Lonchura striata: one gene and its partners. The protein of the gene in region 1 binds, or shares a complex with, the protein of each later gene. Links are inferred from orthologs where the notes say so. Each region holds a gene or a part of one and is shown on either strand. Other genes may lie near its edges.

Region 1 (7,595 bases):
GAGACTTGCAGCATGCACTGAGATGCAGGTATGGGATGGAGAAGAAGTGCTCAGGGTACAGTGGCCTGAGCATGCCTCATAAAGTATTTCAACTCTTTTCACTATTATAATTCATTGGTGACAAATTGTTCTTTTTTTTTTTTTTAGAATGGCATGCATAAATTTCTCAAAACATATGGAAACAGAACTTTTTCTTGAAATAAATCATCTTAATTGAATAATTCTTCATACCACATAGGAATAAATATCTTTAGAAAATCATTTTTTGCCATTTTCTGTCCAATACTTTGGAGAAAGTTGTTGTCAGTAATGATTATCATTCTGCCAACAGGACACCTAACTTGCCTGGAGATTTAACTGTAGGAAAACAAATATATATAAAGGATCTAATTTTCAAGTGGAAATAAAGGAAATATTCATATTTTTTGCCTCAAATGTTTCTAATGCCAATGACATGCTTTTCACAATGTATTTCCCTCTTCAGTCATCCCAATTCTCAGCCACTATGTAAGCTGCACTGTATTTCTTGCTGCACAATCAACTGAACAAGCCCATCATGATTATACATCAGAAGAAACACAATTAGAAAGCAATCATAAAGCAACAATTCCCATCTAACATGTTGCAACCACACAACAGAATCCTATCAAAATTCCATATGGTACTACCAAGCCGTATTTACTGTGCTACCAATCTTCTGGATCCTTTTCTCCTCATTTTCTGATGATCCACCAAAAGTCTCTGTTGACAAACCTATAAATGATAAATCAATGTTCCAGGGTACTTAAGAAGGCTCATTTTGAATTTAAAATTTAATAATACTGGCTCAGTAAATTTAAGCTACCTGAGAACTCCCTAGTTTTCTATTGATCTATTAATATGAAAACTTCAGATGTGACAGGAGCTAAACTGAATTGGATTAACATTCACCTTTCAAACTATAAACCTTCAGGTTGGGGATTAAGTAATGAAGGGGATTAAGCTGTAAAGAGCAGGATTCATTGGATTTCACATAGCATGTTACCAGTGTAATAGGACATCATCCAGCACTAAGAAGTTCTCAAGGCACAAAAAAACTCAGTAAAGTCCTGTTCTTCCCAATTCTGAAACCAGATTCTTATCCTCACATGAAATGTTTAAAGATAATAATTCCTTTGTTAAATTGTCTCTAATGCGACAGAAACCAAAGATAAACAACAAAACTGGGCATTAAGTATCCCCTTCATTCTGGGAAAAATATTTTAAATCTAGAAAAAGGTGTAAAACTAGTAAAGAACCTAACAGTGAAACTAACGGTGAAATCAACTCGCAGTACTCGAACCAAAACTGAAGGGGCGCAGATAACGCGTGTGCCTGCTGCCATCTCCTGGTAGAAAAATGTCAGGTCTCCGAAGGAAAACCTTCCCCAAAAACGGAAAAAGAACTTTATGTTCTACAGAAAATGCTTTCAAAACTCTCAAAATTTACAAGATTTTATTTCACTGTACAAGGCAGCCACTACCTGGACATAGCTCCTTACAAGCTAAATGGAGTTCTAACACTGGCTTAAGCAGAGAAACACCAAAGCTCTGTGATTTTTATAAAGGAAATAAGTACTCACCCGACTTACTCTAATTTAAAAATACATTCAGAAAATTAACTGTAGAAATTTACACACGGCATTCAAAATCAAAGGAAGTCGCTTTGGGAAGCCTGATCATCTTATTACAAGTTCTAGTGCAGATTATTGGCCCATACTGACTCATTTTAGTATCCATTTCTTTTCATGAATACTTGAAGTTCAAGACAATCTTTCACTGTTGTGCTACCCTCATTGCCTTTGATGAATTGCACAGAATTGATATTTGTAATAATATTCCATGTTTTATGTTCTAAAAATAGGATTAGCAAACTTGAAAAGAAATTTTATTTTGACAGCTGACAGAAGGCACCTGTACTTACCCTGCAAAATTTAGTGCCACAAAGACTGTTTTAACTTGCATTTCATAGGCTATTTTGCTGTTCTGGAGAGAAGAGACTTGTCCACATCCTCCCAAAGGTCAAAAGATAAACAAATAATGGGAATAAACTTTACAAGTGGATTATGTCTCCTAGGGTGCTGAATGACTGTGGGAATGTGACCTGGCGTGCCTTAGAAAAAATGATGGCATACTAGTGATTTGGATTGCCCATGGTTCACTGACAATTGCCATGGGGAAATAATCACTGAATGTTGCAGAAAAGCCAAGCTAAATGTGGAACATTTCCCTTCACAGAATGAGAATCCAAAAAATTGTGTTGCAACATCAAGCTGTAACTGAGAAACTGAACAATGACTGAAGAGTTGTAAGAGATCTAAATTAAATCCAACTGGGATTTCACATTCCTTATGAAAATGGAGGTTTTATCATGAGATGATTAAAGCAAGGATAGCCAACTCCTGGTGTGCCAGAATGTACAACTTAGCCTGTCATCCTGGTTCGTGAGAGTCCCTTGGAGCTGGTCAGGAAACAGCCTGTCACAAATCAGCCACTCGCCCTCAGCAGGATCCCTGGCAGAGCTGCAGAGCCCTCCTCCTGCTGGGCATTCCCAGCCACAAACTGCAGGCACTGTCTATGGAGCGTGGTCAGGAACATGAGGAAGGACTTGTGTGCATGTCCCCATCACACCTGGCCCGGCCATGGTCAGATGCCAGCTGCAGCTTACTTACAGCACAGAAGAAACAACACATTTCCAAAGGTTGTGCAAATTGCACCAAATGCAAAGGTGTTGGGGATTTGTTGTGGAGGAGAAGGGAGCACATCAGGGCAGAAACTGGTGCTAATCACAGCACAGAACCAGGGAGAGAAACGACCCAAAACTCTGAAATGCCAGGTGCAGGAAGCTCAGAGTTCCAACAGAGGTCACCAACCACTCTCAATGTCTGCCAGGTGAACCTTGTCAAAAGTAACGAGGAAGAAAATAAGTCTGACACTGATAAGCATATGCACCTGTGTGCGTGCAAACTATCCAAACTGAAACACAGACATTAACTTGGTAAACCAAGAAACACCTTGATTCCTTTCTTCTGTCTGATTTCAACAGGAAGACAGCTAGAGGAGAAATGTGTTAAATATTAATCAAAAGCTCTGCTATTCTTGCCTGGTCTCACGCTTTCAAGTTATTCTGTTTATCACAAAAATGAGCAACTCTTCCAAAACAAAATGGACAAGAAGCCAAGTGTAGGAAAAACCCCAGAGGACTGAGACCATTTGGGGATGGATAAATAAGAGCACCACAGTACATAAGGTTTTAAGCAAAACAGCTAATATTCACAGCAATTGAACTTCTAAAAGTTAGGCTTTGGATGAAAAATGCTTCCATTATTACAACCTTGGAAATATACCACTCTTACTCAGAAAATACTTTATTCAGAAGACTTATGTATAACACAATCACTAGTGAACAAGATCCAGAATAAATCTCCCCTGGTTAAATTAAATTATTCAGACCCTTTCAGAACTTCAGCACATGACTTCAGGACAATACCATTTGTTTTAATCACAGCAGCCTGAATCCTGAGAAAAACCATATTTCCTCTTGGATCAACACAGGAACCAAGAGAAAGCCTAAGCTTTTGTGGAAAAGTATTTTATTACAATAAATAAGCAATCACACCATCAATTCACTCTCTTAGCATCTGGCCCACTGTACTGTGTAATGATTACATGGTTTTTATTCTCAGTATAAATATTTGTGTTTTGAATACAACTTCATTTTAAGACTGATCAATTTGTTTCTTTTAAGGGTGATATGGTTATCTAACACAAGTATATCTTAGATGATAATATCAGATGATGCTTTGGAAAAATCACATTCAAGTTATAATTAATTTCATTTGCAGCTCTGCTCCATCCATAAATCCATAAATTTTCATTTTCTTGCTTACAATTGATTTTATAATCTAATTAGCTGGTGACCTTGTTACTATCCCGACAGACCATAACTTCCCCTCCTCATATTATTAACATACTTCAACATTTCCTTGTTTTTCTCAGTCTCTCTTACCTGTTAACCTCTGCCACAGCTTCCTCCAGGTGACGGACACTGCTGGTTGCAACATCTTCCTTGGTGTCCCTGTATTAACAGGACTAAAGATGTTTGACCAAGTAGCAAATTCCCTTCACCAAGGCAGCCCAACAACCCTAATGGTTCTCAACCCTTTATTATTTTTATTATTACTTCTGGAGTTGTTATGGATTGAATTAAATATTGTTTATCCACGTTCTCCCCACCTGCCTCTTCACACGTGGGGGGTGCTTGCAGAATAGTATTTTTGATTTCAAACAGCTACTGCATGACTTACACCATGAAAGCCACCAGTAAATCGTAAATGAAGTATTTGTTGAATTCATACCTGGAAAGTACCATTTTTAGGTTAGTACGGTCGAATACACCTCGGCAGAGTGAAACGCAACTTCCCACAGCATTCCCAAAGCAGAGCTCCTCACTCGCTCCACGCCCGCCCCGCGCTCCCCTCAGCCCCGCCCACAGACGCGCCAGCACCGGGAGCGGCCGGGCAGTTTAACAGGGAGGGAAAGAGCCCTTCCTCTCCCGGCAGGCTGCAGCCCGGTTTCCACGGCTAAGGGGCGCGGGGAATCGCCATTCCCGGAGGGAAAGCCGCCGCGGCAGCCTGAGGCGGCGCGCGCCCCCCTCCCGCGGCCGCGCGCGCGGGAAGGGGCGGGCCCGGGGGCGGGGCCGGATTCGAACCGGGCGGCGGGGAAGCGGCGGCCATGGCGGCGCAGCAGCAGCTCGGCCGGGAGCACCAGGGCATCACCCTGCGCGGCAGCGCGGAGCTCGTCGCCGAGTTCTTCTGTGAGGGGGCCGCGGGGCACCTCGGGGACCGCGCTGCGAGAGAGGGAGGGAGAGAATGGGGGTGGGAGGGGAGGGGGTGGGAGGCCGCGGCTGGTGGGGCGACATGGCCGCCGGCTGGGGCGTGGGGGGGGGTGGCTTGGTACACATCCCTTTCCCTCTCCGCCTAAATCGTGCAGCCTATGGAATCAACAGCATCCTGTACCAGCGGGGCATCTACCCCCCCGAGACCTTCACCCGCGTGCAGAAGTACGGGCTCACGCTGCTGGTCACCACGGACGCCGAGCTGGCCAACTACCTCAACAACGTGACCGAGCAGATGAAAGGTGCGGGCCGGCGGCGGGGCGCTCCCTGCGGTGTCCCTGCCGCTGCTTCTCGCGCTCTGAGCGACTGCCCCGGCTTCTTGCAGAGTGGCTGTACAAGTGCACCGTGCAGCGCCTGGTGGTGGTCATCTCCAGCATCGAGAGCAGCGAGGTCCTGGAGCGGTGGCAGTTTGACATCGAGTGTGACAAAACTGCAAAGGATGACAAGTGAGTTCCACGGTCCCTCCACTCCTGCGCTTCCCTATCCTGAGTACCTGGGCAGATCAATGCCACGGACTTGTTCCTTCAAAGCTTTCTCAGTGCCCTGCCCTCTGTTTGTCTGCAAAACAATAGAGGGAGAGCAGCTATCACTTAACTTTTCTAAGGACTTAAAAGTGTCACTACTACTCTAAAAATACTCTAGCAAACAGACTACCAGAGCTTAACAAAGATAACTATATTTAGAGGAAACTGTCAGTGCAGTAGTAGTTTCTTCTCTTACCAGAATTTTCTTATTTTTCCAGTGGACCACGGGAGAAATCTCAGAAGGCAATTCAGGATGAAATTCGCTCTGTCATCAGACAAATAACTGCCACAGTAACCTTCCTGCCACTCTTGGAATCTGCCTGTGAGTATTCCAAAGTGCACTAAAGAAATAAAATACTTTTGAAAAACCTCAGTAACTTTCCAACTTCGGAAAATATTTTTCTGAGGCTTTTTAATGATTACCCATTGTGCACCGTCAGGTTTGTGAGACAGCATGAGATCAAGACAGAACTTGGTGTGGCTTAACGAACTTGAGGAAATTAATGTGTTTGCCCTGAGGAATGCAAGTTTTCATGAATAATTTGCTCCTATGAAATGTTATACAGAGCTCATCTCCACAGCATTGTAACATGCTTTAAAAAAAATTACAACACAATTTAGTTATTGAGAAAACTAAAAGGATGTCACATTAATGTAACTTTTGGGTTGGTTTTTTTTTTTTCACATAACTAGTATCAGTGTAACTTCTGAAAACCTTGATCCTTGTCTCTAAGTCTAGAAGCTGCACTTCAAAGCTGCCACCATGTCCTTATGGTGAATTTGTTTTCCCTTGCTCCCAGGTGCCTTTGACTTGCTGATCTACACGGATAAAGATTTGGCAGTGCCAGAAAAGTGGGAAGAGTCAGGACCGCAGTTCATAGCCAATTCAGAAGAGGTTCGGCTACGTTCCTTCACTACCACAATCCACAAGGTCAACACTACAGTGGCTTACAAGAAGGATTCTGTTCCCTAAGATGCTGGGGCAAGTTTTGTGTGTGTAAATATCCTGTCACCTTGTATAGTTTCTGTTCATCATGCAGCTAAGCTATGAGCACATCATTACTGTCCTCTTGATAAAAGTATGACAAAAAGACAACGTGCATGTCTGTGATACTGTGACACTAGACTAACCTGGCATTTTTAAAGAGATTTAAAAAAGGTACTTATGGTCATAGTTCAATTCTTACTTTACTGTATGTAAAATAAGCTAAACTAATGGTGTGTTAAACCACTGCCTCTGCTAGAAAAACTGCCTAAATCTAGGATTAGTTGCTAGAGTTGTATTATTCTTAAACTGCATTCTGTTAGCAGTCTTAAATTCTCTGTAGCAACTAAAATAATCTCATTCCTAGTGTGCCAGTTTTCATGTTAGAAGCCTGGGCTGTTTTATTACCAGAAATAACCCTAAAACAAATCAACCAAACAATTCTTGTACCACTCTACAATGGTAGCAGCTGTTTTATCAGGAAAACTTTAAACACATGAAGCCTTCTATTTTAATGACCACTGGGCTCTGGTTCTGGGGACACAGTTGTTCTGTGTACGTCTGTAGTGTCTGTCCAGCGTTTTCTATGTTTCTATTCTTGGTTACAGAATAAAGCTTCGGGTTTTATGTTCTCTAATTGAGAGTCTACAGTTCTTGGTACTTCAGATGGTTCCATGAATGCTACATTCTAGTTTATAACTGTCACACAAGCAACACCCAAGACATCCTCCTTGTTACTTAACTGTTTCCTTCCTGAGTCTCCATGTGGTGTGGACTCTGTATGAAATCCATTAATGGATTAACACTTTGCTCCCACCTAAGTTTTCAAGCAACAGTTTAAACAGTCACAGTGAACTAATGACACTGCCTTCCATATTTGTTAAACAGCACTGGACTCTTTCATGTGTTCTTACCATTTCTGTAGTGGAAGAAATTAGGGATTTAAATCTCTGGAACTTTCAGACTTACATGGTTTTGTTCACTTCCTTCACTAAATTCATTCCAGCCAGAGTGTTTAACTGGTTTTTCCACTCTTTTACAGTGATGCAGAACTTTCTGTTATAATAATATAATTTCAGAATTTTATTTAAAAAACACAGATTACATATACCCTATCCCAGGACTGTATTTCTTGCATTTTCTTATTTCCAGGAAATACTTCTCCCCAGCAG
Region 2 (5,870 bases), on another chromosome or scaffold:
TGCTGCAGGATTAAAGACAGCACTCTGGGACCAATCTGTGATCCAGGAGCCAATAAGTGCAAATGACAGAGCAGCCACAAGAAAGTGGCAAATAATTTTCAGCAATATCTGCATCTCTCTCTCAAGAAAAATACAGTAGGCATCACATGCTAGAAGAGATTCCTAAAAATCAGTACTGAGATCCAGCTTTACCAGCTCAGCAGACTGGTTAAAGCTTGGCACAGAGACACAAAAGATGAATGGTAGTTCCTTAGTGCAGTGTCCACTCTTCCATCCTTTCCTTGGCCATGTTACCCATAGGCTGTCTTTGGTGAAGTTAATCACTGCAAAATAACCCTCTGGCAGGAAGACCTCCTTCTGCAACCTCAAAAGACTCACCTTGTACTCGATGTTCCCATCTTCTGCCTGGTCAGAGAATGAAACAAGACAGAAGAGTTAGATGCTGTGCCCACAGGGACTTCTACAGGCACCAGCTGCCCATATATTCTGAAGCTGGTGCTGAAGATTTCAAAGAGAGGGAAAGTGGCAGAAAATGACTGTGTTAATCCCAGCTTTCTGCCATTCTTTCCAACACTCAACTAGAACTTTCCAAATGATTTGTTTGTGCTGTTTGTATCCCATATCATGAACACCAAAGGACAAAACTAGAGTGGGGTACAAGGGTAGTACTGTCCAGGGGGGAAATTTTTTTCTAAACAGTAAAGAATAGGGCCAGCCTAACAGTCAGAGAGAAAGTTCCAGTTTCAAAAAGGTACAGGCCAGCATATGACTTACAGTGTCACCCCTCACCCATCTGTGACCCACAAAATGCCACCCACAGCATCCCACTCCCACCCTATCCAGCAGCTTCCATCCATCCAATGTGCACAGAAAAAGGGCCTGAGAACAAAAGCTTCTGCTTCCTCTCCTGCTCAATGATACTCTCCCTCACTCAATTAATTTTTTCATTGACTCCCTTCTACATCCTTATGTATCTTCTCTCTACAAGGAAGGACTACAGACATAAAGAAGCATGGTAATGACTCATTTGCTAGCTAGTCACTGGCCAAAGTTCTGGAGAGCCAGACCTGATTGGGACTGTCTGTACCCAATATGTTCAGAAGTACTTTCTCAGGGAAGGCTAGATGGGGTTGTAACAGAAAGGTCTGGGTACTCATCAAACTCAATTCAACCAAAACAGGCTCCAGCTTACCAAAGAGAATTGTATCTAATTTTAAAATTAGATATACAATATTTAAGTATTTTTTTCCCAGTGATTCACTATAAGGACCAATAAGAAAGGGCTGGAGCCTGTAGGAAGCCATATACTCTGTCAGACTAAATGGGGCTGGCAACAGTAGGCACTTCCTTTTCCTCTGGACACCTATTTGCATGTCAGGAGAGGCAACAGCCCTATCCTTGCCTTCCAGCTCAGCTCTTAACCACAGTGGCACTTACAGTGGCAAAAGGCCAACAGAAGTTCTCAATTGTCAGCTCAGTTCTCTGGCTGCAGAGCTATGCCATGAGAAAAAGGTACTTGTAGCAGGTTTTCCCTTCTTGCCATCTACCAGTTCTAAGCAAAACCCATTCACCTACTGCACTGTCGTCTAAATAAGGGAGTGGGTCTTCTCCAAGGCTCTTGAGACTAGAAAAGCAACGAGCCTAGACTTGCTGGGGCACACACTGCACAGGGTAGCCAGAAACAGGAAGCTGAGTTGAAACCACAAGAGACTCTCCAGCCTCCAGCTGAAAGGAACAACTGCGGCTGCAGGGCACAGTCCTGCCCGTGGAGAAGATCTAACACTAGCAAAGTACTGTTTTCACATCTTCCCAAGAGTACCAGGTCTGTCTTGTGGAGGAATTGCTTGCTCCCAGCACAGGCTATTATATATTTTACAGAAAGTTCACTGACAGGGGCCGAGCAATGGAGTCTGAACCAATGTAATTCCCCCCACAGTGACAGTTCTATGAAAGCGGTGACAACTGCCCCAGCTGAGCACACATCCACGCTACTACCAATGCCACTTCTTCCTGCTGCAAGAGACAAGTGCCCTACCCCCTGTCCATACCATCTGCAGCCCTGTGCAAGGAAACAGCTGTCAAATTAGCTGGGGAGTCACCTGTAAAGGGGCTCAGACCCAGCAGAGCAGATCGCCTCTCGGGGAGAGATGCAAATGAGATGCTTGGAAGTACGAGGCGAGCAAAGCTTTATTTTCGAAGCTTTTCGATGGGAGGCGGCAAAGCGCCCGCAGACAGACGCCAAGCAGTGCGATACCACTCACGGGCAGGGTCCGGCGGACCCCGCAGGGAGCTCGCTGGCACCGGGTGCGCGAGCACGGCCCGGAGGAGAGCCCGGGCAGGCGGGCACACGGCTCCCGGGGCCGTGCGGCTGCTGTCAGCCCGACCCCGGCACAGGCCCGCACCAGCACCGCCGGCACCTCCAGCCAGACCCAGCCAGCGGGGTCCGGCCGAGGTACCGACCCGCTCTGGGGGGCACCGGCCCTCCGGCCCCTCCCGCCCCCGGGCCTGGTCTCGCTCCCTCCGCGGCTGACGGGACGCGGCGGCCGCCGGAGCTCACCTCGGGCGGCAGGAACGGGGGGTTGTTGGCCTTCCCTCCGCGGCTCCGCCCGTTCTTCTTCTTCGTCTTCGAGCCGCCGCCGCCGCCAGGCGCAGCCCCCCCGCGCCCGCGCAGCGTAGCACCTGCCCCGCCGCCCGCCGGCCGACAGCAGCCCCCGAACAGCTCTGACACCCGGGAGTCCATGGTGGACACCGCGGCCCCGCCGCCCCGCTGCAGCGTCCGCTCCGCTCCCCGCCCAGCCCCGCCGGCCCGGCTCCGGCCCCGGCGTCACAGACAGCCGCGCGGCGCCCCGGGAAAGCGAGTCCCGCCCGCCTACGACGCCAAGAACGCGCTGCGCGCCTCCTGCTCAAAACTACATCTCCCGGCGTGCCCCGCGGCGCGACTTGCTCGGTCCCGTATGGGTTCTACCTGCGGGGGCTGATGGGAGCTGGAGTCCAACGGAGAGGGCGCCGCCTGTCGGCCCCGGTCGACAACGTGCGGGATACCGCCGCTCCCCGGGCCCCGCTGCCGGGATCTGCGGACGCCCGTGGGTTATCCATTTGTCAGTTCACAGCCCCGGGTTCCCTAGTTATTGATATCGAACGATCAGTCATTCTGGATTCAGTAAACTTAGGCACTTTCGAAGCTGTTTGGCCTTGGAGGTATCTCATGACTACGCAGAGGCAGCAGCCCGACACAGAGCGATCCCAAAGCCCACGTTAAGATCCAACGCGGAGGGCGGCCGGAACAGCAAAAGAACCTGTAGCTGTGCGCCGCATCCCCTCACTAAGTGTATTCCCAATCTCCAGTTCCACGGCCACTGCGCCTTCTCTTTCCTCGCCGCATGCCCTGGGGAGAGCGACCCTGGATCACTGTCGGTGTAGAACTGACACAGGTGGCCGCGGTTCCTGTAAAGCAGTCTCAGAAAAGCTCCTCTCACCATCCCGCCCTCCACTCGCCATGCGCTGGAGGCGGCACCCAATGGGGCGGCGGGCACAATGTTTCCAAACACGGCACTCCCTGCAAGCTCCCCGCCTCCGCCACCCCGCGGCACCGCGAAGGCGGCTCTTCCGCAAGACAGCGGAGCCGCCAGAGCTGCCGGGAGCGGGGCTGAGGAGAGCGGAGCCGCCTCCTGCGGATAGCCTTGAAAGAAGCACAGCCCAGGTCCCGGCACGGCCTCAACCGAGGGGCCCCGGGCCGGGATCGGGTTGGGAACGGAGGGGCGGGGCTACGCGGAGACCTCCGCCCCTGCCACGCCCGCCAAACTTGGTGGCGTCGCCGCCAGAGGGCGCGCGGTGCGGTCCGTGCGCCCTTCCCGTGAGGCTCGGCGGCGGCGGCATTCAAACGCGGCGGCCGTTGGGGCGCTCGCTCGCTCCGCGCTCCCGGGCTGGCGGGCCTGGGCCGCGGCGCGATGGGGCCCCAGGGGGACGCCTCGGTGCCGGGCGGCCCCGCCGTGGCCGTGGCCTTCCCGGGAGCTGTGTGCCGGGGCAGCGGCTGCCGCTTCGCCTGCGAGCTCCTGAAGCACGTCCTGCACCAGCGGAACCAGCTCCCGCTGCCCTACGAGCAGCTCGCCTTCTTCTGCCGGCGGGCGGCCCAGGTGAGGGGCGGCGACCGCGGGTCAACCCCGGGCCGGGGGACTGGGTGGGCCGCGGCGTTTGGATTTTGCTTGCGAGCTTCTGTTCTCGCTCGGGGACTCGTACAGCAACGTGTCGGTGCCTTTAAAGTAAAGCGCTTGTTGTGGCTGCATCCCTAAATGCCTTTGCCTCTTCTTTTCAAAACGAGGCAAAGGCAGCGTTAAGTTCAGGCTGCTGAAGGTGCCGACAAATTGCTCTCAGTTGATTGTTTCATACTTTCCGCTCAAAGCGTGTCACTGCCTTGTTTGTTACCTCTAAGCAAAAAACCAAACAAAAATACTATTAAATGTTTTCAGAGAGATGGCTGATCTTTGAAAGATGGGCTTCTAATTCCTATTGGAATTAATTAGTAGGGCGATTCAGATTCCAGCTGAGTAGCTATGGATTGTGCTTTCGTGTTCCTCTTGCCATTTCGTGATGCGGAGAGATGTGCATCCTCCCCATGTGGGTACCTGTAGCTCTCAAAATGAACACAAGCTGCTTGTTCCTTGACTCTCTGGGATGGGCCATGCTTTCTGCAGCATATAATACATGTTCATAACTAACTGTGTTAATATGAGTTTTTGTCTTCCAGGATGGAGTTGGAATTGGGAAACCACATTCCCTGGGCCTGGCAAGCAGAAAGTGCCAGCAGCTGCTGATGGAGCTGGAGGGATTGTTCCAGCACCTGGAAGTCATGTTTAGTCTGACGCTAGTTCCTCGGGTTCTTTTCCTACTTGGAGGCAATGTCATCAACCCCAAGGAGCTCTATGAGCTGAATTTGGAAGGGTTCTGTGAGGGCTCTGCTGAAGAGAGCCTTGAGACTGCGCCCTGTGTTCGCCAGCTCTTTCACCGCCTGTTTGTTGCTGACGTCTTTAGTGAACTTAAGGCTCTCCCTGTCACAGTCACTCTTGTCCTGGTCCAGGGCCACCGTGACTGTGGTGTTGAGTGGTTCCGGCCCAAGCTCAACTACCAAGTGCCGACCCGAGGGAGGAAGCTGACTGTTAAGTTGTCCTGTGATGGAGACCTCCATGTTAGTGCCTCACCTCCACAGCACACAGTACCTGCTTGGGAGGACTACGTCTGGTTCCAAGCACCAGTGACCCTCAAAGGCTTTAGTGAATGAATGGTTTCTGTAGAAATTTAATTGGAAATATTTAATTGGAATACTGATTACCTTTTTTCTTTAGGTGTTAATTTTAGCAAATGTAACCATGTATTTTTGAACCATGTCTGTCTGAATTTTTTTGTCTTCATGGTGTCTACTGCCTTCCTGTATCTTGCTGCGCTCTTCTATTGTCCATATTTCCTGAGCTGTTGAAGGCAAATCCTCTTTAAGGAACAGTTGCACACAGGTCCAGCGATTCTTTAGGGACCTGATCTGTGACATGGGATGAATTAATGTGTTGGGAGTAAAACTTCCATGCTGTATGCTTGCTGAACTGGTAAAGGCTGGATATGTACAATCTCCTCCTGAGTTTTAATATGGCTATTTTCTGACACTGCCTCTGTCATGTTACACATAGGCTCTCTTAGGTGAAGTTACAAAATAACTATCTGGAAGGAAAACCTGTAGTCCTTGAAAGGCTCCCTATAGCAGGAAAACCAGCAGGCAAAACTGGAGCGGGACACAGAGGTAAAATTGTTGCGGAAGAGAGATTTATTTCCAGCTGGTAAAGAATGGGGCAGGATGAAAGCTGCCAGGGCTGGGTGGAGATGGA
Region 3 (7,413 bases), on another chromosome or scaffold:
AGCTGTGATTTGCAACTTAAGTTTAATGACCAGACAGATGAAAGAACTACAAGAAATCAGTACTAAAGGGTTCAGAAATTACACAGTGCCTTTTTACTGATTAAATTCCACAACTCAGCATTAGCACTTAAAAATGTCACCATACAATCAAATAATAAGCAGTTTGGTTAATAATTTAAATTAAATAAGTTGTAATTCTCCTATATAGCCAAAATTAAGCCCTGCACCTCTCTGAAGAGTGCAAGAACCTCCACCCACCACTCAGACTCATTCTCAGTTTAAATCAGAGTCCAGGAGATGGGACAGAGGATATAGGATGTTCCAATTGCTCAGAGACTGGACGAGTTTAAGATTTGCAGATGACAAAGGGCAAGTAATCCTGTTTCTCTGTACATGTGGATGATCCTTCATTATCTGTGGAGCAGGTGTTCAGAGGTGGGTCATGACTGCACTGGTGGGTAACACGAGGGTGTCACTGACCAGACAAGCCGTGGTACCTCCACCTGCAGCCCACTGCCGATGGTCCAACACCTCACCTGTGCCTCCATGCCTGTCCCCATGGCGCGGACCCAGCCCTCACCTGCGGGCAGCCTCCTCGATGCTCTCCCCGGGCTGCACCTTCCCCCCGAAGCCATTCCACAGCCCGGCGCCGAACCCGCGCTTCTTCATGCCCAGGAGGACGCGGGACGGCTGCACCACCAGGACTAGGGTGAAGAGTCTGGACGTGTGCATGGCTCCTGGGAGAGGGACGAGGCGGCGCGCTGTGCCAAGAGCTCCCGGCCCCCTTCGGAGGGAGCCGGGGGCGCACAGAGCCCCTCACGCCCAGCACCCCGCCCCAGTGCCCGGTCCCTCTATCGCTCCCACTGACCTCGCTTTCCTGCTACCTCAGCACCGCCTTCCCAAAGTTCGACCCCCCCTTCCCAAATCCTTGTTTCCCCACACCCCCGGGAATCCTGACCACCTTTAACACCCTCCTCTCCCAGCACCCCTTCTCCCAATCTTCGACCCCCTCCGCAAACCCCTGTCCCCCCAGATTATTCTCCGACCACCCTCAACACCCCTTCCCCTAATCCCTGCGCCCCTAGAAACCCCTCCCCAAATTCTAAATCCTTGCTGCTCCTAACCTCCCTCCCTGAATCCTTAACTCGCAGCTCCCCTTCCCCACATCATCGACCCCGACCCCGCGCGCACCTCAGCCCCACAGCCGCGGTTTCCCGCCCGCCGCGGTGTCCCCCTCAGCCGCGGCCCTTCCCGCGCCGCCGCCGCCCCGCCCGCGGCCGCCGTGAGGGGAGGCGGGACGGGGCGGGCCGCGGCGGCCATGGCGGCCGCGGGCGGCGCCGCCATTGCCGGGGGCAGGTGCGCGGCGGGGTCGCTGAGGCGACCCCACGCAGGGGATGGTGGCGTGTCGTTCGTGCCGGAGCTTCACTCGGGAATGGGTTAATGGGTGTTTGGGGTTTTAGGGTTATGCCGCCCGGCGGTTCCCGTGGCTGTTGGTTGCTCTGGCGGGAGCTGGCAGGAGCTCGGGCGTCCCTCCGATCCTCTGAGCGGTCGCGGGGGGCAGCGGCCCCGCTGAGGCAGCTCAGGAGTGCTGGGCTCACTCTGCCATGTCGTGTCCGTAAAACACCTGAGCAGAAGCTGGAGTGGGATCTCTTTCCCCCCTTAGCTCAGGATAACACGTGAGGCCTCATCCAAAATCTGACCCTGCTGTTGTGATAGGACCTGATAAGTAAAGGTGCCAAAAATCTCAAATTTAGGGGCTTCTTTTTAGAATCAGGGAATGGTTTGGGTTGGAAGGGACCTCTGGAGACCATCTAGCCAAATAACCCTTCCAAGGCAGGGTCACCTGGAGCAGGTGACATAGGAACGTGTCCAGCTGTAGTGAGAATCTCCCTACAGTGAGACTCCACACCCTCCCTGGCTGCCTGTAGTGGCTGGAATTAATTACTGTAGAGACTTCTGAAACACAGAGTGGTTATTTACTAACTTGCCTCTCTTCCTGGCTTTGCATGAGCAGGTGCCTGCACACCACAGTGAAGTTTCTGAGGAAAACTGGAGCTGAGCAGAGGTGGTTGGAGCGGCACTTGAAGGATCCCTTTGTCAAGGCATCGAAGCAACAGCATTACCGATGCCGGAGTGCCTTCAAGTTGCTGGAAACTGATGACAAGCTCCGTGTTCTTCGTCCAGGATTTTCTGTTCTTGACTGTGGAGCAGCACCTGGTGCTTGGAGCCAGGTTGCTGTACAGAGGGTCAATGCCTTAGGTACTGGTAAGTGCAATTTTTTGGCAGGCAAGATGGGGGTGATACTCCTCTTGATGAGTGTGACAGATCTGTGAAATACTATGGAATGTAAATTGAAATACTATGAAATCAAGGAAATATTATGATGGTAACAATGTGGGGAGGGGACATGGGTACTGGCAAGTGCCAGAGTCACTGATAAAAATATGAAAGGGTGAGCCTAGTAATTCTTCATATAGAAAAATTGTGTTTATGAAATAAAACATACCATGTGGTGCTAGTGATCTGATTAGCTGATTAGCTGTTGTCGGGAAGATCCCTTCATCCAGTTCTGAAATAGGTGTGACTTCTAGCAATTACCTTGGCTTATTTAAAATATTGTTTCCCTTCTCAAAAAATGGAAGCAACTTCTTTGCATGGTTTATATGGGTGAAGCCATTGATGTTTACAAAGTGAGGTGTTATCTGCAGCATTATCCAGGATTTCTGGACTGTCAGCCTTATAAGAGCAGCAGAAAACCAAAAAGAAGCCTCCTTGTTTATCCAAAGTAGCTGAGTTTTTGTGTCTTGAATGGATGAGATTATAGCAAATCCAGCAAACTGCCAGGGGAGGAGAAGGCAGCTGTGGCAGGTGGTGGGTTTTGTCTACTGACAGACACAGAGCTCGTGCATGTGCAGTTTTTTGCAGCCTCTCTGAGTGTTCCCTGTGTCATTCCTCCTTACAGATGCTGCTGTCCCCACTGGCTTCGTGCTTGGTGTTGACCTGCTGAGGATTTCTCCCCTGGAAGGAGCGGTTTTCCTGTCAGAGACTGACATGGCAGAGCCCAGCACGCTGAGGGCCATCCAGAGCCTGCTTCCCTTGGGGAAGGCAGATGTCATCCTGAGTGACATGGCACCCAACGCCACGGGCATCAAAGAGCTGGATCATCAGAAGCTGATCAGTCTGTGTTTAGGCCTTCTGGATATGTCCCAAAGCATTTTAAAGCCAAAAGGAACGATGCTCTGTAAATTCTGGGATGGATCCGAGGCCCGTCTGCTGCAAAACAGACTGAAGGAGCAGTTCCAGGATGTGAGAACTATAAAGCCTCAGGCCAGCCGGAAGGACTCTGCGGAATCTTATTACTTGGCAAGGCTGTACAGAGGGAAATGAAAGTCATGAGCTGCAGATTCTCTGACATGGATTGGAAATCTCAATTTAGTGGGTGTTGAAAGGAAAATCCCACCATTAAGACCTTGGGAAAATTTGTTGCTCTTCTTTAAGTCCATCAGGCTTTTCAAATACTTGCAGACAAAATGGTTGGGAATGGAGAGGAATAATCTGAAAGGCAAGCTCTGGGAATGGAGTAATGGAAATTAAAATAAAATGCTGATTATACGAGTTTTTAATGTGTGCCTGAAAATCATTGCACTGTTAATGCTGCCAGACATGAGACTGACCATAAAGGTGATCGTTAGAACGTGAGGAGAACATGAGCAAAGGGGAGTTTGAGCCAATTCAGTGCCTTTCAGAAGCTGGTGTGATTTATTAGCAGGTCACAGGTAAAAAATAGAAAATGTGTCTGTGCACATCAGGATCTGTCATGCATGGTGTGTAGCACAACCATGTGAGAGGCACGGCTGACTTGGGAATGTTCAGCCCCATGGCTCTGCTGCCTCTCCCACAGTACAGGTTATATTTAGGAGTTGCTGCCTCCTGGCACTCCTAAATCCCGTCAGTGCCAGTGGGACAGGGTCATGGCCACGCAGCTCATCTCCCCAGTGCTTTCTAGGTGTGGCCAGTGGTGTTTCTCAGGCGAAAAGACAAGATATTCCTAAGATCCCAGTAGGGAGAATGACTGAATTGCCAGAAATCTGCTTGCACAAATAAATTCAGCTGCTGCCTTATCTGAAAGCGACAAATTTCATATTAAACGCTGCTTTTATCGGGCTGACCGTGGCATGAGTTATATGAGAGGCTGTTTTGAAGACTCCAGGCCTTTCTCATCACCACCTTGGGGCTGCTGGCTGGATCCCTGCCGGAGCAGGAGGGCGCGGGGCGCTTTTTGGGGGTGCGGCCCGAGCTCTAAGCTTCACCGCCTCTTATCGGGGCATTACGGTAGCGCGCGGAGGGCTGCGCGCATAATGCCGCCCTTACGGCCCACGGCGCCGCCGCTCTCGCGAGAGGCGGGCGCGGAGTTCCCGCGAGACGCCGTGGCCGGGGTGAGGAGGGAGATCCAAGCGGGGCGCGCGGCGAGCGCTGAGGGAGGCACGGGGAAGGGGCGCGGACGGGGGAAACGGAGGGAAGGAGGCTCCGGCCGCGCCCGTCCCGCCCCGCTCTCCCCCAGGGGAGTCGTGCCGGCGAGCCCCTCGGTGCCCGGAGCTGCCCCGTGCCCGCCGCGGCCGCTCCCGGTGCTCGCTGCCCGCCGCGGGTCCCTGCGTACCCTGACGGGTTTCTGGAGCGGACCGGGTCACACACACCGAAGTGTCGTCGTAATCGCTGGGAGGTTTGGGAACGGGCTTGCTGGAGCTGCCTGCCGGCAGGTGCGTTTAGTTCTCCAGAGCTCGGTTTGGGTTTTGGCAGATCTGTTGGTTCTGCGCCGCTCTTATGCTTCCTGCTCGTGATGCTGTAAATACAAACAGTAACTGCTGTGTAACCCCGGGAGTGCAGGAGCCCCGAGGCAGCCCCAGGTCTCTGTCTGTGCTGCATCCATGGGGATGTTGTGGCTGCCCTTCCTGGTCCTGGACCTTTTCCGGTGTTCCTGGGGATTTATGGAGCGTGCAGTCACTGGAGGGACTCACCTGAGGTTTCCTGAAATCTGGGGAACCTTGGAGCCTTTCCTGAGTGAGCACCATGCTTGATTTCTCTTTGGCCTTTTAGTTAGTACGCTTCTAAATTGGGAGGAAAAGCTGTATCTCATTATATAAATAATTCGATGCAGTTTCACTTATACAAGTGATCAGTGGATTTGGGAAGACTTGTTGGAAATTAGAGTCCAAAGTGCTTCTGGGAAACCAGAGACAAGTTGTGTAGCAGGAAGGGTTTGCTGCTACTGTGGAGTTAGTTCTTCTCCCATCAGATTCAAAAATTAGGGGGAAGAAAAATGAGTTTGGTTTGGTCAGAGAAGAAGATGCTGTCTTGCATCTTTTTCTCATTTCAGAGGAAATTACAATGTCAGCCTGGATCATGTTTTCTGTGGATCCCAGCAGTGCAGATTGCAGATTGATTCTTACCCTGTAAATGGGAAGACCTCGTGTTTAGTCTTTCCTCAGGGCAGTGATGGATCCCTCTTTAGCAGAGCATCTTGCTCTGAGTGTTTTGCTGATGATTTTCTGTCTATTTCCAGAGCCATGGAGGACTTGGAAAATAATACCACTGTCTTCTCCACCCTGAGATCCCTCAACAACTTCATTTCACAGCGAATGGAGGGAGTGTCTGGGCTGGCTACACCTGGATCTAGTCAAAGCTCCTTACAGATGCAGTACCAGCAGAGGATGCAGGTGAGGAGTCCTCATCTTGGTGATTCCTGCAGCACCACTTCAGTGTGGCCATGTGCTCCTTTTGATTCTAGGAGCTGGGAATTTCATTCAGTTCTGACCGTTCATTCTGAAACTGACACAAACAAATAAAGGAAGCTTGCTGCCACCGTTCTGGAATATTTTTAGAATATATTTAATTTTTTTACAGTGTCAGTTTTATTTCTGTTTTATAAAAGTTTAAGAAAGGTTCTTTGAATTTATTCCCTGCTAGTTATATCTGTATAGCAGCTCAGGAAATTAAATTATGAGTTGTTTTCATAATGCTGAACAAAGGAGCTTTATACTTTAACATTTTTTCTGGTAAGACACTTTGTTACCTTTTTTCAGGATTTAAAGGCTTCTTTGCCTGGACACATACAGGAGACTTGCATTGAGCTGTGGCTTTGATATGCAAACCAGTTGTGCTTTCTTATCCACCTGAGTTATTTACTTTTTTTTTTGCTGTTAGCTGCTTCAGGCTCATAAAGCATAAAGTAAATTGACAATCTTAGATCCCAGGAACTGTTTATTAGGCTGCAAGGAAGTATCTCTATTCTGTATCTTAATATAATTTCTATTTCAGTCTCCAAGTAAAAAAATGTTTGCTTCTTTTTAATGTAAATCTGCTTTGCATTTGGAACGTTGACAAAAGTTTAAGCTTCTGTCTGTGCTACATCTCTGGTGGCAGCAGTAGTTGCAGGAGGCTTTCTGGTTAGTCTCCATCTGCTGTGTGTTGGATGTACATCATCAGGATGTGAGTAGTTCTTATAGTATTGTCTGTGCTCTCAGGTAATTTGACTGAAAAAATGAAGTGGAACGTTGTAGAGGTTGTGGAAAAATGTGTTATTTTGCTCAGCAGTTAGTTTTATTTGGAGCATGATCTGTGCTTCTTAGGCTTGGAGAATTCATAATTAGCTTTTTAGATAAAGTAGATTTTGTCAGACTACATCTAGAGATTGAGCAATTCTGATTTAGGAACCAGGAATTAGTTTCTTTCCAATTCACCTTGATTTGGTGTGGGTCTCTGAGCATGGTGTTGAACTCTTTGTTTCCCCATCTACAGCTGGTGTGAGAAGTGCCACAAATGTGGTGATAGTTTGTAAAATGGCAAGTTAGTGTCAGCGAGCAGTACAGGGCACCATGATACTGTTGTGCTGTTAATGGTGTGCAATGTCCCTTCTCACACATGAACTGGCCAGCTGGAGGAACAGGCTGGGCAGATCCACTCCAAATCCCAGCTGCTGCAGGTGGAACGGGAGAAGATGCAGATGGAGCTGAGCCACAAACGAGCTCGCATCGAGCTGGAGAAGGCAGCTAATACCAATGCCAGGAACTATGAGGTGAGTGGATGTCTGCTCATGGCTTGGGAGCATGGCCTAAGCCAGAACACATGGAGAGCATTTACATCAATGATTTGGGTCAGGGATGTGCTTTGGTGTGCAGTGTCTGTCTCAGAATGTGTATAGTTACTCTTTGGAGTGAAACCAAGCTGAAAGGTGCATTCCAGGAGCAAGCCTGGTGTTCTCCAACTGCTAATGGACACTGTCTTCAGAGCAGGACTTCAGTGACTCTGGAATGCATTTATTGTGTTTGCATTTACTGCGGGCGTGGCTGTCAAGTTGCCAGCACCAATGCATCTACAGAACTGCTCTGCAGGTCCGCTCTCAGTGCACTGCACTAA

What was found.
Region 2: the proteins of MAD2L1 (region 1) and MAD2L1BP are in contact, whole or in part, in a crystal structure (PDB 2QYF), measured with the Homo sapiens proteins. The link is inferred for Lonchura striata from reciprocal best matches to the Homo sapiens genes MAD2L1 and MAD2L1BP. Residues at the interface, in NP_002349.1 of Homo sapiens: Tyr33, Arg45, Thr52, Leu54, Lys122, Asp126, Glu127, Arg129, Ser130, Arg133, Gln134, Thr136, Ala137, Thr138, Thr140, Phe141, Leu142, Leu144, Glu179, Val181, Arg182, Leu183, Arg184, Tyr199, Asp205; in NP_055443.1 of Homo sapiens: Pro61, His79, Tyr82, Gln83, Gln85, Pro88, Leu89, Pro90, Gln93, His96, Ala185, Leu187, Arg188, Phe191, Arg192, Phe195, Asp198, Ala199, Phe200, Ser201, Glu202, Leu203, Gln204, Ala205.
Region 3: the proteins of MAD2L1 (region 1) and MAD1L1 are in contact, whole or in part, in a crystal structure (PDB 1GO4), measured with the Homo sapiens proteins. The link is inferred for Lonchura striata from reciprocal best matches to the Homo sapiens genes MAD2L1 and MAD1L1. Residues at the interface, in NP_002349.1 of Homo sapiens: Tyr38, Leu61, Tyr64, Asn67, Val68, Trp75, Gln82, Lys83, Ser89, Ile91, Glu92, Ser93, Gly94, Arg99, Gln101, Ser150, Phe151, Asp152, Leu153, Leu154, Ile155, Tyr156, Thr157, Asp158, Lys159, Asp160, Leu161, Val163, Lys166, Trp167; in NP_001013858.1 of Homo sapiens: Glu527, Arg528, Ala530, Leu531, Gln532, Gly533, Asp534, Tyr535, Gln537, Ser538, Arg539, Thr540, Lys541, Val542, Leu543, His544, Met545, Ser546, Leu547, Asn548, Pro549, Thr550, Ala553, Arg554, Leu557.

The regions. Positions count from the first base shown.
Region 1 is NC_134606.1:70,014,579-70,022,173, forward strand, and holds MAD2L1 (mitotic spindle assembly checkpoint protein MAD2A), read left to right. Parts: upstream 1-4,706; 5' UTR 4,707-4,751; coding exon 4,752-4,833; intron 4,834-5,009; coding exon 5,010-5,156; intron 5,157-5,239; coding exon 5,240-5,360; intron 5,361-5,656; coding exon 5,657-5,760; intron 5,761-6,238; coding exon 6,239-6,411; 3' UTR 6,412-7,060; downstream 7,061-7,595. UniProt on the Homo sapiens protein: Component of the spindle-assembly checkpoint that prevents the onset of anaphase until all chromosomes are properly aligned at the metaphase plate.
Region 2 is NC_134605.1:36,067,362-36,073,231, forward strand, and holds MAD2L1BP (MAD2L1-binding protein), read left to right. Parts: upstream 1-3,947; coding exon 3,948-4,133; intron 4,134-4,744; coding exon 4,745-5,275; 3' UTR 5,276-5,288; downstream 5,289-5,870. Other genes in the region: GTPBP2 (GTP-binding protein 2), read right to left, coding at 379-405, 2,558-2,740. UniProt on the Homo sapiens protein: May function to silence the spindle checkpoint and allow mitosis to proceed through anaphase by binding MAD2L1 after it has become dissociated from the MAD2L1-CDC20 complex.
Region 3 is NC_134618.1:13,418,136-13,425,548, reverse strand, and holds the start of MAD1L1 (mitotic spindle assembly checkpoint protein MAD1), read left to right. Parts: upstream 1-4,407; 5' UTR 4,408-4,436; intron 4,437-4,498; exon of another isoform or gene 4,499-4,757; intron 4,758-5,031; exon of another isoform or gene 5,032-5,058; intron 5,059-5,560; 5' UTR 5,561-5,564; coding exon 5,565-5,714; intron 5,715-6,931; coding exon 6,932-7,072; intron 7,073-7,413. Other genes in the region: NUDT1 (oxidized purine nucleoside triphosphate hydrolase), read right to left, coding at 581-732; MRM2 (rRNA methyltransferase 2, mitochondrial), read left to right, coding at 1,319-1,356, 2,015-2,265, 2,963-3,387. UniProt on the Homo sapiens protein: Component of the spindle-assembly checkpoint that prevents the onset of anaphase until all chromosomes are properly aligned at the metaphase plate.